4 linked regions of the Xenopus tropicalis genome follow. The protein of the gene in region 3 purifies or fractionates together with the protein of the main gene of each other region. This does not show direct contact. Links are inferred from orthologs where the notes say so. Each region holds a gene or a part of one and is shown on either strand. Other genes may lie near its edges.

The links.
Region 1: the proteins of nup160 (region 3) and nup133 purify together in Homo sapiens (co-immunoprecipitation; 4 studies listed by BioGRID and IntAct, with this or other methods). This does not show direct contact. The link is inferred for Xenopus tropicalis from reciprocal best matches to the Homo sapiens genes NUP160 and NUP133.
Region 2: the proteins of nup160 (region 3) and nup43 purify together in Homo sapiens (affinity purification with mass spectrometry; 5 studies listed by BioGRID and IntAct, counting the BioPlex papers as one, with this or other methods). This does not show direct contact. The link is inferred for Xenopus tropicalis from reciprocal best matches to the Homo sapiens genes NUP160 and NUP43.
Region 4: the proteins of nup160 (region 3) and seh1l fractionate together in Homo sapiens (co-fractionation; 3 studies listed by BioGRID and IntAct, with this or other methods). This does not show direct contact. The link is inferred for Xenopus tropicalis from reciprocal best matches to the Homo sapiens genes NUP160 and SEH1L.

Annotation. Positions count from the first base shown.
Region 1 is NC_030679.2:125,105,843-125,110,010, forward strand, and holds the start of nup133 (nuclear pore complex protein Nup133), read left to right. Parts: upstream 1-1,368; 5' UTR 1,369-1,506; coding exon 1,507-4,168. UniProt on the Homo sapiens protein: Involved in poly(A)+ RNA transport. Involved in nephrogenesis.
Region 2 is NC_030681.2:58,289,413-58,294,709, reverse strand, and holds the start of nup43 (nucleoporin Nup43), read left to right. Parts: upstream 1-2,075; 5' UTR 2,076-2,368; coding exon 2,369-2,491; intron 2,492-3,313; coding exon 3,314-3,436; intron 3,437-5,297. UniProt on the Homo sapiens protein: Component of the Nup107-160 subcomplex of the nuclear pore complex (NPC). The Nup107-160 subcomplex is required for the assembly of a functional NPC.
Region 3 is NC_030680.2:16,001,233-16,005,131, forward strand, and holds part of nup160 (nuclear pore complex protein Nup160), read left to right. Parts: intron 1-557; coding exon 558-718; intron 719-831; coding exon 832-892; intron 893-1,477; coding exon 1,478-1,588; intron 1,589-3,136; coding exon 3,137-3,260; intron 3,261-3,717; coding exon 3,718-3,819; intron 3,820-3,899. UniProt on the Homo sapiens protein: Functions as a component of the nuclear pore complex (NPC). Involved in poly(A)+ RNA transport.
Region 4 is NC_030682.2:103,472,320-103,476,919, reverse strand, and holds part of seh1l (nucleoporin SEH1), read left to right. Parts: intron 1-1,814; coding exon 1,815-1,961; intron 1,962-3,077; coding exon 3,078-3,289; intron 3,290-4,001; coding exon 4,002-4,100; intron 4,101-4,600. UniProt on the Homo sapiens protein: Component of the Nup107-160 subcomplex of the nuclear pore complex (NPC). The Nup107-160 subcomplex is required for the assembly of a functional NPC.

The sequences.
Region 1 (4,168 bases), on a different chromosome or scaffold from region 3:
GAAAGTAAAAATTGCGGCCCTGCCTACGGCACACCAGGCAACATCTCGCGGCACACTAGTGTGCCACGGAACAGTGGTTGAAAAACGCTGATCTAGGGTGTGTTACTATATATTTTAATCTTTTCATTCTTCCTTTTCGCTTTACCAATTTTAAAAAATTATTTTAGCTGTGAACATAAATTAAAAGTTATATTTTAAGATTCTACAGGTGTGCCAAAAAAATTGTGTTCTTTTCATCTTTTGCTTTATATGTGACACACAATGGCCTTCCAGAGATTGTCTGTGTGGGCATGGAATTAAATATCGCACTATTATCAGCAGAGCTCGTGGTTTTCACTTACAGGTATCGGACCCCTTATCCGGAAACCCATTATCCAGAAAGTTCCGAATTACGGAAAGGCCATCTCCCATAGACTCCATTATAATCAAATAATTACCATTCTTAAAAATTATTCCCTTTTTCTCTGTAATAATAAAACAGTACCTTGTACTTGTTCCCAACTAATATATGATTAATCCTTATTGGAAGCAAAACAATCCTATTGGGTTTAATTACTGTTTAAATAATATTTTAGTAGACTTAAGGTAGGAAATCTGAATTACGGAAAACCCCAGGTCCCTACCATTCTGGATAATGGGCCCCATACCTGTAATAACAACTGCAACTCTGCACCTGGGCTACCAGGAATTAAGGATGCAAAATACACTATTTAATTTACATTTTCAGCCACTTACAGGAAAAAAATATCACACAAACTGCTCACTGCACAAAGTAATTGGATAACACTGAGACAGCAAGTACAATTTTTATTGTTACTGTAGGACGACCAAGCCAAAAGTAAATGTGCCAGTCAATGGTTATTACTGGTTGCTGCACTAAGAAACAATGGCAGACACTAATTCTTAGACTGAGGGGAAAAAACGACTTCCTTTTATCATTTTATAGATTGTAAGCTCTACGGGGCAGGGACCTCCTTCATCTTGTGTTTCTGACTCTTATTGCAACTGTACCTTGTATTTATTGTTATACTTTGTATTTATCCATTATCTTTAACCCCGTCTGTATTAATGAATTCTACTGCACAGCGCTGCGTACATAAGTAGCGCTTTATAAATAAAGATATACATACATACATACATACATGGGAAAGTTATAGGATCACCCCGTCTATTATCATCCACTGTACAATTTTTAGGGCTTTTGTTTCCTGTATTATTTGGTTCGGTTATTATTCTTCCATTGCTTAGCAAACTATTTGCATGAATCCCATTTTCTTCCTTGTAGGTCAAGAAAAATATAACTTGTTTAAAGAGCAAGTGGATTTGACGCAACCTGACTGACTGAACGATAACCCCTGGTTCCAACCAGTTGGCCAGTTGCAGCCTAACAGGCCGGGCCGTTGCTTATGACGTCACTAGCAGCGCGCCATTTCCTGCACTTCCTGAGACAACGCGGGTAGCGAGCGCTTTTCAAACTATCCCGACACAGCGGCTACCGGATCCAGCATGTTTCCGTCACCCCGTGCTCAGGGTGTGGGCTCAGCGCGGCGGCCGTTTAATGCCCGACTGACTGGCGGCAGGAAAGGCTTGGGTCCGGGAGTGAGCGCCAGTTCTTCCCCGTCGGCGCTGTACTCGCCTGTGGGTCGTAGAGTTTCCAGCAGTGGCGCCAGATCCACCCCGTCCCGCGTTTATCTCCACCCGGCCGCCTCTGAGACGGTGAATTACAATGTACAGCTGTTTGGTTCCTCCTTGCCAGTTAAAGTAATGGAGGCCCTGTCTAACTCCGGTGTAGACGAGCCCTTGGCTGCTCGCATCCATGAAGGCGGATGGGCATGGCTGGCGTGCAAGGATCGCCTGATCATTTGGAAGATAAGTCACTCCACCTCTGCTAAGTTAATGGTGTGCAAAGAACTGCCTCTTCCACTGAGTGACAGCGAATGGTCTGCTGATTTAGCGGATATTTGTGCCCACACGGGTGACTCTGCTGCTGGACAGGCAGTGGCATTAATGGCGGCCACTCCTGAAGGGTCAGCCCGCTACTGGCCTAACATTCTCCATGAGAGCAACTATATAGAGTCTTACGCTGACTTTGGCTCCTCTCTTTGTGCATTTGTTACAGCTGTAAAAGGCAACAGTTTCATCCTGTCTTCAGAAAAAAATCACCTTGTACGACTGACACCCGACGCGTCCGGAAAGATTAATCAACGTATTCTGCCGCAAGGTCAGGGCATGCTGTCCGGTATTGGCCGCAGGGTGTCCACGCTCTTTGGCATCTTGTCTCCTGCTGTTGAATCCACGCTCTGCAGTGTTCTCTGGGATAAGGGAGATTGCTTCTATACTCTCACAGACTCAAGTATAAACAAATGGGACTTGGATGATGCTTCGGAAAGTCACGTGCTTACCTGGGACATGACCAGAGTCCTAAGAGAAAACATATCTGATGCCATTTGGGGGTCTGAGAGCAACTATGATGATATAAAAAATGGAATTAACATTGATTATTTAAGTCTTAACCAGAACTGTGATGGTTTAGTCATCCTGGCTGCTGCCTGGCATCCTGGTGATAACCCCTGCCAGATATATTACACACTTGTAACCGTGAAAGACGAAGGTTATAATATTTCTGATGAAATTACAGTGGAAGTCACTCAGTTCAACCCTGTGTTTCAGTCTAGAGATATGCAGCTGTGCCAGCTTGTGATACCAAATTTTAGCAGCCAGGCCTGTTACTTGTATACCCAAGATATGGTCTTTGCATGTTCAACAGGAACTGGAAGGAGCACTTTGCCTCAAGAAAAGATTCCATTTGAAGCACAAGGAGATAATATTATAGGAGCTGGATCCTGTGAAGGTTGGCCAGTTTTTTTCATTAGAAAGAGTGGTATGCTGACCGTTGTTGCTAGAGAGACTGCTTCTGTGCTCCCAGAGCACATGGAAGAGTCACTGTTGTCCGTGTCTAAATCCAGCTCTCAGGCTGCAGTAAAGGACTCAACTTCAAGACCTGACCAGATTGCTCATGATGATAAGACCAAACTTCTGAAGGCCGCTTTTTTGAGATGTTGCAGGAAAGACATACTGGGGGCACAGAGCATGGTGGATAGCCTGTTCTCAGATTCAGACATGGGACCAGATGATGAACTGGATCAAGCAGTAAACCAAATAAGCGTCGATTTGATTGATGATTATCCTGCCTCTGATCCTCGTTGGGCTGAATCTGTCCCTGAAGAGGCAGCTGGATTTAGCAACACTTCTCTAATTCTCTTGCATCAGCTGGAAGATAAGATGAAAGCTCACTCCTTTTTTGTGGATTTCCTTCATCAAGTTGGACTTTTCAGTCGTTTGAGCACTTGTCAAGCAAAAGGAATGTTCGTAGCAACTCGACTGTTGCTGTGTGAGCATGCAGAGAAACTGTCTGCTGCAATTGTTTTAAAGAACCACCATGCTAAGCTCCCTGCCTTGGTTAACTCTGCCATACAACTTGCACTTGATAAAAGGATGTGCTCCATACCCCAGAATCTCACTGCCGCCGATGTCTACTTTAGAGAGGTATCCCAAATGGATATTATCTTTGAATGCCTGGTAGACAAAGAGGAAGCTGACTTGGAAAGTACTTCCATGGACTCAGTTGAATGGGCAAATATAGTTGTCAATATCAATACTATTCTGAAAGACATGCTACATGCTGCCTGTCAGTACAGACAAAGTAAAAATTCTCTCTATAAAAATGAAAGTGGAATGCAAGAGCCCGAGTATGTTCCCTGGACTGCTTCTAGTGGAATTGCAGGTATTAGGTCTGTTGTTACACGTCAGCATGGTGTAATATTGAAGATCTACCCACAAGCGGATAGCAGCCTTCGTACTATACTAATTGAGCAGCTTGCAGCCTTGCTAAACTACTTGCTTGATGATTATGTCATCCAACTAAAATCAGTTGATAAACGGACTAATCAAGAAAGATACAGTGTCCTGGAAATGGAGTATGCTCAGAAGCGGTCAGAACTTTTAGCTCCTTTGTTAAGCCTAGGACAGTATGCCTGGGCTTCAAATCTTGCTGAGAAGTACTGTGACTTTGATATCTTGGTGCAGATATGTGAAATGACTGATAATCAGAGCAGGCTGCAAAGGTACATGACTCTATTTTCAGATCAGAATTTTTCAGATTTTCTGT
Region 2 (5,297 bases), on a different chromosome or scaffold from region 3:
ATTTCTTTGTTTAAGCTGAGCTCAGGAGAGGACGTTAGGAGAAAAAAATTGAAGCAGACAGAGCAAGCCAAAAATCAAAGCAAATTCCTGAGGGGGGGGGCGAGTGGGTTACAGGAGGAGAAGGAAATCTAAGTGATTAAGGAGATGCTGCAGCCTTACTATTAACCTCTGGACAACCAGTGTGGCAGGTATTGAAAGATTTCAAAGAGGCTGTTTACTGATTCAATTTTTGTGTGTGGGGTTTACATGTCCTTTAAGACTTTTTTAATCAAAGGGAGACTGTAAAAAGTTCATTATAAGATTTGGCTAGCTGGAACCAGGCTTTGACATTGCATGAGTTCTCGCAGGGATATAAAAGGTTGAATCAATTTCATTGTCTGATATGGATCACCTATTTCCTTTATCTCCAATTTTTGCAGGTTACCATGAGACCAGAGAACTGACTACATTTTTGGAAGCAGTTAATCAAATTCACTAATTAATCAGGCTAATAAGGGGACTCTGCAGTGTCAGCTGTGGATTGTCTACATACAGGTTTATTTTATATTCCTTGTCTGCTTTTTGGTAACCCATTACTATCTCCTTATGGTGATAGGTTCAGTTGCCAAGGAAAGTAAAAGCTGTGTTCGGGCCCCAAGTGCCACCCTGAGGCTAATGCAAAGAGCGCAATAGCATAAAAAGTAAATATTGCTTACATAAACAAACTGGACCAGCTAAATTTTTTAGAACCAAATGTAAATATGCTCACTTAAGGGATTCAAACAGCACATTTTTTTTACTATATGTAGAAAGTTTATTTCTGTCAGGTGAAGTTTGTATTATTTTTTATTTTTGTGGGGAGGGCCAGACCATTTGGCAGTGTATACAAGAATTTTAGGAAAGTATATACTGTACATGGCAGTTTAGGGAGAGCCCATTACATAGCTAAAGCATTGGAAAAATGCTACCTTTTCATCTCTGCTAGCTACAGTGCTGTATTTAGGTTTGGTGCCTGTTGGGTTCACAGTGGAGTTGTGCAGGATAAGTAGAAAGTCAAGCTGGATAACACATGTAGCTGAGCTAACATTTAGGCATGCAGCTCCCTCTAGTGGTACACAACAATGCCACTCTAGACACCAGACCTAACTATACCCCCTACTTTGCAGATGTGACATCATTGTGCCCGTGATGTCACATACCCCTACGTTGTGAAAGTGACTTCACATGCTGCATGTGCGTGGTGACAATTCTGCAGTGCAACCCAACCCCCTACCATGCACCCCCAGCTCCATTACCAGATTTACTAAGGACTCTGGCACACGGGGAGATTAGTCGCCTGCGACAAAACTCCCTGTTCGCGGGAGTGCCATCCCGCCGGCGACTTACAAGTTCGCCGGTGGGATGGCGGGTCATGGCAACTCGGGGAGATTAGTCCCCCGCGAACAGGGAGTTTTTGTTGCGGGCGACTAATCTCCCTGTGTGCCAGAGCCCTAAGGCTGGGGGCATATATATATTTTTAAATTGTAAATGTAATATATAGGTGCATATTTGTAAAAACTGTATAACTTTGCCCTTCTCACCACATCCCTGCCCAATTTGCCTATTTATGTTATGATCACGTCTCCTTGTCCCACCTGCCCCTTATGTCACCGGCTCGCCTCTTCACTATGTGGCCAATATGTTTCTGTACAAAATGTGGCAACTTTAGGTACAGCCCAATGTGCTTTCCTCCTATAATTTATAAGGTGCATGATATACAGTAAAACCCCCATTTTACATTTCTCAGGAGACCAGAAAGAAATGATGTAAAATTCCAGGAAAATGTAAAAGCAAAGAAATGTATTATGCATTAAAAGTCGGTGGGTCCACCTAAACAGTGTAAAATGTGGGAAAACCCAAAATAAGGTTATTTAAAATTAAGGTTTCACTGTAACACAAACATAAGTCCCTCTTAATTAAATTATTAGGCCACAAGCAGGACTTCTATATGTTAACCGTTTGGTCTTGTATTCCTTTACGCTGTAAAACCCAGTATGAAAGGATAACGCTATATAATTAATAACAAAGTATGTTTAGCGCAAGCCATAGTCACTGAACTGTACTGTGGCAACGAATGCGTTAATAAACGCATTTCATTTTATTTCCTTACTCCGATCACTGGTCACCTCAGCGATTACTCTGTAGAAAGTATGGCGGGGAAATTATAGCCAATGAAAGTACAGTTTGGGTTGTTGAGAATTGCCAATCAGAACGCTTGTGGCAGACAAGGCGCCGTCTGGCGGCTTTTTTTCAGGCTCTGCCTCTTTTTTTCAACATAGCCCTGTAATCTGGACGTGTTCGTCATTAAGGGGGTAGTGGTGGCATAGCCAACCTCAAAATTAAGGGTGTCATGGACGATAAATTCGCTGCAAAATTTGTCTCTCACAAAATTAGCAGAACTCGCTGGCGCCCAGTGTCGGCCTCGTCGCTGCAGCAACCGGATGTGTTTGCTACGGGTTCCTGGGATAATGAGGTATGGTTGTGGCACGGGGAAATGTGTTTAACCAACATTCGGAGTAAACTAAAAATCACAATGATACGGCTGTAGGTGATCTATAATACCCTGAATCCCCTGCTGTCAAACTCTTACAGTTATTTAAACTACGGAAGAGCAGCATTTCCCAAGTATTACATGGTTAATTTAGATCATTGTAATAATTGTGCAGCCATGTGTTTGTACTCATTGACGTATTACCCTCTACAAGAAGCTTACAGTTTCCTGTAACACAAGAGCCCTGGGTACACTTAATGGGGGTTGGTAAATCTAGTCATTTTCCTAGCACAATTTTAATTATTATTGACACAGCACACCACAAAGTGCCAGAGTGTGATGTAGTTCCACTGATGGCTACAAATGTCAAATAGCACTGCCTTAGAATCCGAATCACGAATGGGAAAAAATCGTATTGGAAACGAAAATTTCGTAAGATCGCAAATATCACGTAAATGCTTATGACAAAATCGTATTAGTCACGATAATATCGGATTGGCGACCCGAAAGTCATGAAATTTTCATACCGAACAATTGTAAACAGCGGTAAAACCTTTCCGATTTTTTCGTGCAAACGTCTGAAAAAGTTGAGCGTCGTATGAAAAAGTCGTGCGGACGCCCGAAAAAATCTGCGAAAATACGCTCGGAGCGTTCACATGAACGCTCGTGCATTCGTGCTTTTGTAAATGTGCCCCTTAGTGTTAAGGCATATCAAAGTTTGATATATTTAGTGAAAGTTTTGCATACAGTTTTATGACATGTCAATACACTACATATACTGATTTTTTTTTTTTAATGCTCAAGGAAAACAAGGTATGTGTGTGGGCCACTTCAGACTTTGGGGCCATAAGTCTAGAAGAAGAATACCAAGGAGATCCTAAACAACTGTGTGACATCAGACACATTGGCGATGTTATGGACATGCAGGTACCTTAACAAAGGAACTTTTTATTTACACTACATAATTACATTCTGTTGTTTCCTCTACATAAGGATATTCTTATCTCACTAGCCAAGGGACCAATTGCCCCCATACTATATAAAAAATAGCCATAAAAGAAATGAAACTGTATGAAATCCCGGCCCTTGAAGAAATAGGCTATTCAACTACAATTTATTCAAATTCACTTTTCCTTAATAAGTTCACATAATAATTTTATTTATTGTATTGTCATAGTTGGTGCCTATTAATAAGTGGTGGAAAATGAGAGGGCCCTTTTGTGTTTGAACTTTTCACAAATCTTAAGACATCAGGCAAACTAATTATAATGGTATGCTAGTTTGGGTCAAGTCATAATAGTGAATTATTTGACTTCATTAGATATTGATTGGAGTAAAGGTCCCCATACACCTTCAGATTCCCTCGCTTGGCGATGTCGCCAAGCGAGCTGATCTTCTCCCGATATCCCCCACCTATTGATGGGCGATATCTGGAGAATCCAGGCTGATTTGATCTAATTATAACGACGGTATAGGCAAAGTTGGTTCAGGGTCCGCATCAACAAGCCGATGGGGTCCCCGATCCGACTAGGTTTTTTTAACCTGCCCGATCGAGATATTGGTTGGGCAGGCCCATCAGTAGTGCCCATACACTGGCGATTAGCTGCTGAATCGGTCTAACGGACTGATATCGGCAGCTAGAATCGGCCTGTGTATGGAGACCTTAATATTAGTGTCAGAACAGTTAATTTAACAAGTTTACAAACTTACTAAATAACAATTTTATGTCACAGATTGTTCAGGGCCCCTAAAGGAATTATGCTATACTTGACCTAGTGATAAAACAAATGCACTAGAAGCCCAGGGTAATGGTGACCATAATGTTATCTAAATGAATATATGAGTGTTAAGCTGCATGATATGTGGGAGTAAGTAAGTTAATAGGAATGAAGAGGAAGGCTTTTAAAAACTACAAGTGAGGGGACAGATGATTCTTGTAAAGAATGTTAATACCACAAGTGTTGTAAAGCAGCAATAGGGAAGGCAAAGGTGAAATACTTTTGGAGATTAGTCTTTGCCTGTGCAGCAATAATCTCCTCATTTTCAAAGTATCTAAGTTATAAAAAGATGTAGGTGTGGACTGTGGAAATGGAGGTGATTTGGGTATAAAAGACCATAGAAAGCAAATGTGCTTAAGGATTTCTTTTCTACAGTGTATACAGTAGAGAAGTTGGGGTTGCAAGAACCACTAGGCAAGGACACAGATGACTCAGCTCTATCAAGTCAATTGATGACTCAGGACATGGTACTGAGTCACAGTATGTACTGCCTGCCCTATGTTGCCTTTGTGTATGGCACAGGCAGCATAGGGCAGGCAGAGTATGGCACCCACAGGCAGCATAGGGCAGGCAGAGTATGGCACCCACAGGCAGCATAGGGCAGGCAGAGTATGGCACCCACAGGCAGCATAGGGCAGGTAGAGTATGGCACCCACAGGCAGCATAGGGCAGGCAGAGTATGGCACCCACAGGCAGCATAGGGCTGGCAGGGTATGGCACCCACAGGCAGCATAGGGCTGGCAGGGTATGGCACCCACAGGCAGCATAGGGCTGGCAGAGTATGGCACCCACAGGCAGCATAGGGCTGGCAGAGTATGGCACCCACAGGCAGCATAGGGCTGGCAGAGTATGGCACCCACAGGCAGCATAGGGCTGGCAGAGTATGGCACCCACAGGCAGCATAGGGCTGGCAGAGTATGGCACCCACAGGCAATATTCTACCTGCCCTACCCTGCCTGTGTGTGCCATACTATGCCTGCCCTATGCTGCCTGGGTGTGCCATACTCTCC
Region 3 (3,899 bases):
GTGCCAATTGGGCATCATTTAAATGCCACGGCCTACCTGAGCATTGTTTCTGACCATGTCCATCCCTTTATGACCACCATGTACCCATCCTCTGGCTACTTCCAGCAGGATAATGCACCATGGCACAAAGCTGGAATCATTTCAAATTGGTTTCTTGAACATGACAATGTTTGGGATGTGGTGGAATGGGAGCTTCGTGCCCTGGATGTGCATCCCACAAATCTCCATCAACTGCAAGATGCTATCCTTTCAATATGGGTCAACATTTATAAAGAATGCTTTCTGCACCTTGTTGAATCAATGCCACGTAGAATTAAGGCAGTTCTGAAGGCGAAAGGGGGTCAAACACCGTATTAGTATGGTGTTCCTAATAATCCTTTTGATGTGTGTGTGTGTATATATATATATATATATATATATATATATTATTTATTTTATTTTTTTTAGATACACACATGTATCTATATTGTGTGTGTTTATTATACCTGCACCACCCTGCCACTAGTTATAGCGCTTAGTTTCCCTATCTATAACTGAAACCCCGTTTTTCCCCTCAGCTGGCACGGTGATGTTTGAATATGGGATGCGACTTGGCAGGGAAGTCCGTACCTTACGGGGTCTCCAAAAACAAGTGAACTCTTATCTGGCATGCCTGAACTGCTTGCGCCTTATCCGTCCAGAATACGCTTGGATAGTGCAGCCGGTATCGGGAGCTGTGGTATGAAACCTCTTGTCTAAATACATTCTAAATACAACAGAAAGGTCCTTCCTTCCATCCACTTTTCCCTATATATATCATTATTTGCCTGTTTTTCTTTTTTAAATGTCTAGTATGAACGCCCAGGAGCATCCCCCAAGAGGAACTATGATGGAGAATCATCTGCTGTTCCAAGTAAGCCTTTGCCCTAACGACTTGCTATCATTTTACCTTTTCCTTGCACAAATCTTTCTCTCTGGTATCCCGGGATATTATTGAGTGCTTCCTGCTGTGTCCCTGTTACACATTGTTACTCTTCCACTATGTTGGCTGAGCAGGATGATTACAGCTAAAAGTGTAATGGGGTATTGATTTGGCCTAGTCACAGAGGTGTGTGTATTGTGCTGCCACCTTGTGGTCTATAAGTAGTGGTGCTCTGGCTTAAAGTGAACATTTAAATACCCAGTGCAAGTAAAGGGTGTGATCCTGTGGCTGAGCTTGAAGCATGTAGTTAGAATCTATAACATAAGCAACATATAATCTCTTGCAAAACTACTAACTCTCTGCCAGCAGCCTCAATGCAGTTGGTTGATCTATATCTTCACCTGTCTGTGAAAGCTTTGGCAGATGCTGATAGTTGTAGTAAAGAAATTTTAGTAATATAGAACATTTTGCTACAAAAAAGTGAGCTTTCTTTTGAAACAGTTCTTCCTGTAATTAACTTATTTCAGTTTAATTTGCTTTATATTAACTGTTATTCTTGTGTTCTTTCTGGACTAGGCAGTAGTCAGATTGAAATCTTGGAGCTGCGAGATTTAGAAAAGGAATACGTTCTTGCGCAGACGCGGCTGACTCTGGCAAAGCATAATCCCAGTACAGCAGCGATCGCAGGTAACGGAGAACTTTGATTGGATTACATTTCTCATGCAAGGAGTTTCTCTTCTCCCAGATAAATAGCAGGCTCTGTTCAGCATTTACCCAGATGCCTACATAGTAAGAGCAGTCGAGAGGGATTTTGGGGATATTTGCAAAGTTAATTGTGGGCTTACAGCCATGTTCTGATGAAATTGAAATTGAATCACTAAGCACCGATTATAAGAATATAATTTCCAGAATATACCACTTTTCTGTTTTATATATTTGTATTGTTGTTTGTTGGATCCACAATTGAGGTAAGCGTTACATGCCTGACATCAGACATGATGTTTTGTGTACCGTATATACTCGAGTATAAGCCGAGTTTTTCAGCACTAAAAATGTGCTCAAAAAGTAACCCTTCGGCTTATACTCGAGCATTCCTCTCCCCTACCTACCTCCACTTGTGTCCGTCCTGCACATAATGCGCTCGAACGAGGCGATGGAGGCGAGTCCGTGCGCGCAAGGTTAAGGAACGCTTCTGTATCATGTATCTGGCACAGATGCTTGGCCGCCGTGTATAGTGACGAGTCGCTGTGCTGATCTGCCAGCCATATAATCTGCAGCAAGTTGTTTACCTGTGGGAGCGGGAGCATTCTTCAAACAGAGCCGTAAGCCGGTACATATCTGCCACCTCGTACGCCGCGCAGCGTGTCACACACGGACACCGTGCACTCCGTTCACTCTCCTGCCGACTCTTGATCTGACGATGTAATGCATACGCACTCACCTCCGTGCGAGCGCGTTCATCGTCAGATCAAGAAGAATGCTCCCGCTTCCTGGTCCGGACAGTGCAGGTAAAGAACTGCCTGCAGATTATGTGGCTGGCAGATCAGCACAGCGACTCGTCACTATACACGGCGGACAAGCACCTGTGCCAGATACTGTACATGCTTCAGAAGAGTTCCTTAACCTGCGTGCACAGACTCGCCTCCATCCACGGGGGCCACATTGTGGGATATGTAGTTCTATGGAGGCGATTGGTGCACAGGTGGGCTTGTCATGAGTGGCAGTCTCTGGCCACTAACAAGGAGGGGAGTTCTTAAGGCAGTGGGGGGCAAGGGGAAGCAGGATGGGACCAGCAAGGGGCAAGACATTGGTGAGTAGGAGTGGAAGCGTGCTTAGCCATAAAGCAGGGCTGTTGTACTGCAATCACAAGACTGATTTTCAAAATGTAAGAAAATTATTTTTGTAGTATTGTGGTGGGACTTCTACACTGGGGTCCAAGTACTTGATAATTAGTATGGCAGCTTCCTTAGCGTTCCCAAACTTGCTTTTGTCTGCTGCTGTAGCATTTTTCTTTCCCTAAAGTTATCTATGTATTTATCTGTTATTTATTTGATTATTAAAACTTAGCAGTAGCGGTTGCATTTCCCACCCTAGGCTTATACTCGAGTCAATAAGTTTTTCCAGTTTTCTTAGGTAAAATTGGGTACCTCGGCTTATATTCGGATCGGCTTATACTCGAGTATATACGGTATATCAAGCTCTGCTAATCTGAACGATGTGCACTCTCTTTCGCAGGGAGTTCCGCTGCTGAAGAAATGGTGGCTCTTCTTGTACAGGCCGGCCTGTTTGACACAGCAATATCCCTGTGCCAGACGTTCAAACTTGGCCTGACATCAATCTTCGAGGGTCTTGCTTGCAAGTAAGTGTGCATCATTGAAAAACTTTAAAGGATAAGTTAAAATTACTTGATATAAAATTGATGAGTGCTATTTTAAGGACTTTTGCAATATATATTCATTCATTTTTTTTTTTTTTTTTTAATCCCAAGATATTAAGGGTTTAAAAGTCCTGTTAATATTGAATCCATTTTGTTACATTAGGGCCACCTGCTGGTTACTTTTCGAACATGAAGTAGCCAAGGACATTGTCAAGCGAAAGAAAGGGCTGATCTGATGTTCTTCTGGCTAGCAAAAATGTGAGAACCTCAAATAAGATTTCTTACATCTTTCCTAACCAACTAACTTCCTTGACTACGTCATGTTCGGAAAGTGACCAGCAGATGAAGCTGTAACTTAATGTATATTTATAATAATGTGTTCTTGCAGCGTTATTTTTTTCCTTGTTAATGTACACAAATATGTCTTCTTGTCACACAGATGCATCAGGTTGCAGCAGGGCGGGGAGGCAGCTCAGGCTGAGGCATGGGAATGGCTGGCAGCCAATCAACTGGCGACTGTTATTACTACCAAGGAGTCCAGGTATTTCATTTTTTTCATCTGACACCTAGATTGAATAATGCTTTAAGTGCTGGTCAGCTCTGTGCAGCGTGCCAAAGGGC
Region 4 (4,600 bases), on a different chromosome or scaffold from region 3:
TTATTGGGTATATGCAAATAAAATGCAGTGGAATTTTCAGAAAATGATATTAAAGGGGAGGCCATTATATCAAGTAAGTGTAAAACATAGAGCCGCATTAAAGGAGAAGGCAAGATATAATCACTGGGAGGTGCCAAAATGTTAGGGGTTGTTAGAGGTTGGATTTTAGTCCTATGACATGCAGAGGTGCTGTTGAGGAAATCAGTGTCAGTCAGAAATACCCATATTATCTGTAACAGCTTGGAATAGCAAGTCTAACAAATGTTATGTCTGTTGTAGACAGAAGCAGTGAGAGACAGAGACTGCTTAAAAAGACCAAAACAAGCATTTCTACAACAGCAACATTGTGACCAAAATTACAATTCTGAAGGTTTCTTCCACCTGCAGTAGACAGATCTAAGTTAATTTCTGCACTAAAAGACCAGTAAAACAATAAACAAATACTGTATATACTCGAGTATTAGCCGAGTTTTTCAGCACCAAAAATGTGCTGAAAAAGTCACCCTTGGCTTATACTCGAGTATATGGATTTGAAGATGTAAGTGTCCCCCCCCCCGTGAATGGTCGTACGTGCGTGCGCTTGCCTTTTTAAGTTGGGAGCGCACACGGCAGAAATCCAACAAGCTGTTTTGTTTGGATGAGCTGTTAAGTATTAGGGTGATATTCAGCCACGCTGGGTGACAAGTTGCACAGCTCTGAAGTCAATGGGAAGCAGACTGTGGTGGACATCAGGTATTTTTTTTACCGCGCTACAAATATAGACAATCAAAATGTTCCATGTGAAAATAGTCTAAGTCCCCATTATGGGCCACTTAGACAATAGAAAGCTCTCTGGAGGAGCAAACAGCTATTTAGTAGCTTGAAGGCAGCATTACGGGCTGTTCAACCAAGGTTTGGGCCTCACAGCAGGATGGGAACGCACACAGCAGGATGGGAGAGCACACAGGGGAGCGCACACAGCAGGTTGGCAAGTACTTAGTATGGCAGCTTTCTTAGCCTTCCCAAACTTGCCTGACAGTTAAAAAAAAAAAAAAAAAAAAACAACAAAGCAGTAGGAGCTGCATTTCCCACCCTAGGCTTATACTTGAGTCAATAAATTTTTCCAGTTTTCTTAGGTAAAATTAGGTACCTCGGCGATCGGCTTATACTAGAGTATATACGGTAAATAAACTGTTTCGTATGTGTTTAATTTTAATATACTGCTGCCTTGCACTTACTGGTGTATTAAACAGGACATTTCTTGTCTGGAAATAGTTTTTCTAGATGTTCAATCAACAGATACTAACTAGGGCCTAATTTGCTAGTCCTTTTTTAAAGGGACAGTATAATGAAAGGAAATGTCTCCATTGCCATTAAACAGAGCAAAAGGTTTAGTGATTGGGTACTACTGGGAAAAGCTGCCATGCTTCAATAATGAAAAAAAGTTTATTAGTTATTACAGTATTATGAGTGGCGGATTAATAGCTGTTGCTACCCTATGCAATTGTTGCATGCTTAATACTGTAAATGTGCATGTGCCAGTTGGTGGAAATTGGGTACTCAGCCCCTCATCTTGTTTGTTAATTTAGCCACTAGAATCTAGTGGTGGTCTGGAGCTTTAAAAAGAAAATGCTATATACACCTCTGCTACTGCTCTAGGCACAAACCTTGTGTGCTTGCATAGAAAACACAGCCCTCAATATTAGCATGCTATTCCTAAACGCACACATATTTAAATACACTGTATTTAATGCACAGAGCAGTCGGAGCAGCTTGTAATTTACTTTAACCTTTGTATTCTGGAAGGAAAATGTTATTTTTGTCTTGTTCTTAAGACCCACAGTGGTTCAGTATGGCGGGTAACATGGGCTCACCCAGAATTCGGCCAGGTATTAGCCTCATGTTCGTTTGACAGAACTGCTGCAGTGTGGGAAGAAATAGTTGGTGAATCAAATGATAAACTGCGCGGACAGAGTCATTGGGTAAGACCTATTGTCAGATATATGAGCACATTTTTCCCAGTATTGAGCTTGTTTGAAAACTGTATATATGATTATATGATAATTATATTTTGATTGCACCTTTTCAATATACACCTGGATGTGCATCATTTTTGTCTATATATAACATCATGAGTGTTCAACTGGAAGATTTGTAATTTACCCCAGTATGTACAGTCTGAAAAATGTGGGCAGTCCTTTCCAAATTAAATATTTAGTAAATTTATAGTAAACAAATACAGTTGAATCAGAAACCGCATATTTGCAAACATTAATTCACAGATCCATTTTATTTTGCAAACTTTAAAGCATAGAGAAGTATAAACAAATGCAAGAAATTATGGCATGTGCAAAGGTTTGGACACCCTTTCACCTGACCCTAATTACCCCATTAGGCCTTAATATCTATTAGGAGTTGTCAACTGTTAACATTTGAATAGCATAATGAAATCTCTGTTAGTCAACAATCATGGACTCCATAATGCAACTGTGCGAACATCTGACAAAGTTAATTGTCGCCATGTCATCAAGAAATGGCAGGGGAAGGGGAACTGTGGAAGTCTAGAGACAATCTGACAGAGCAAGATTAAGAGCAAGACTGGTGTTGCATAGTTTCATGGCACAGCACTGCTTACACAAACATGATCTGCATGGAAGAGTCATCAAAGGAAAGCTTAACCTTCAACTTCATCACAAACATCAACATCTAAGCTAAGGAATACAAAACAGTGATCTTTTAAAGTGCTGTGAACTAAAGTAAAAATTAACTCTTTGGCCACTCTCAAAGGTTTGTTTGGAATAAAAAGAAGCAGAATTTGATGACTAAGAAACACATTGGCAACTTTTAAAGGGATAGTGATGTTCAATATTTCAGCAGAAATGTGTCACTATGCCTAAATAAACCCTAATGTCAATCATTTTTTTAATGGAGGTCTCCAACACCAACAGAAAACAAAAGTTGTTTGGTGACTCTATACACTGCTTTATCAATAGGTTAAAAGCTAGAGGTGGCATAGCGCTGACTTTTTGAGCAGCATCCAAATTAAGGGGAAATGTATGTTTGGTCACCATTATTTATTTATTCTGATTCTGCTTTAGGTTAAAAGAACAACACTAGTGGACAGCAGGACATCTGTAACCGATGTAAAGTTTGCTCCAAAACACATGGGTCTGATGCTGGCAACCTGCTCTGCAGATGGAGTGGTGAGAATATATGAGGCCCCTGATGTTATGAACCTCAGTCAGTGGTCCCTGCAGCATGAAATCTCATGCAAACTGAGCTGCAGTTGTATCTCTTGGAATCCCTCTAGGTTAGTTATAAACAATTTACTTTGTTACATCTCTGAATGTGTATATGAAAATAGGAAAGCAAATGAGACTTTGCAGACTATTTACATCAGTGGTTACATAAGTGCTACTTATGCTAGATCTACTCATGTCAAGGAGCATTACATATATGACAAACTAAAGCTTTGCTGAAATGTTAAAGGGAACTATTGTTAAAATTGAAATTTCATATGAGCTTTCTAAATATAATCAGCTAAACATTGGGTATAGTTGCAAAATAAACTTTGTAAATGTTACAAATTTAGTATTAAGTTTTACTAGACATGTAAAGAGGCAGTATTCTTCCGTATTCAACACGCATTTAGTGAATAGATAAACATAATATTTAACAAAGGTTTTCTTCATACAAATACATTTTTTAACTCTCTGGTTCATGCAGGAAGTTTTGCGAGGGAAAGAAGGTAGTTAGTCGGATTAGCAGTTTACAGATAAAACGGCTGATTAGAGCTTTGTTACATTAGGAATTTTCTCCACCAGTGCATCTATGCATCCTATACACTGTGCTATAATTTGCTGAAATGGCAGCTTTAAAGCAAAATACCTATTGGTACCTTTTAATGAAAAATAAAATATGAATGTTCACTTATTAAATTATTAGCATTTCATATTTAAATTAAGGTTTGTTTCATATTATGAATCAAACATTTTATTTATTCTTTTATTTGGTTGTTTTAGCTCCCGAGCCCATTCTCCTATGATTGCTGTAGGCAGTGACGACAGCAGCCCAAATATCATGGGAAAAGTACAGATCTATGAATATAATGAGAACACAAGGTATCGAATACAAAAAAGTTTTCGTACTGTGCGTATTTTTTGCGACTTTTTCGTACTTTGCGACAAGCGTGACTTTCCTTGGGCCATGTTGGAGTTGCAGAGCGCCATTGAGTCCTATGGGAGGCTTCCAAAAACATGCGGTTACGATCGTTCAGATACGAAAATTTCACCACTTTCGGAACGCCATTCCGATATTATCGTGACTATTGCGATTTTTTTTCGGAAGCATTTTCGTGACAATTCCGATCATCAGAAATTATCGTATTTAATCCGAATTTTTTCCATTTCGGGATTCAAACTCGTACTTTGATAAATCTGCCCCATAATCTGGTTCCTCAAGGCAAGCAAGTTCATTTGCCTTTTTCCTTTTTTTTATTCTTTTCATATTGTCCATTTTGACTTTTTTCTTATCTTTCTTTCAGTTTGTATTTTTTGGTATGTAGGCGATAGAAATAGTATGGCAAGTTAAATTAATAATATCACATTTTTTATGCTAATGG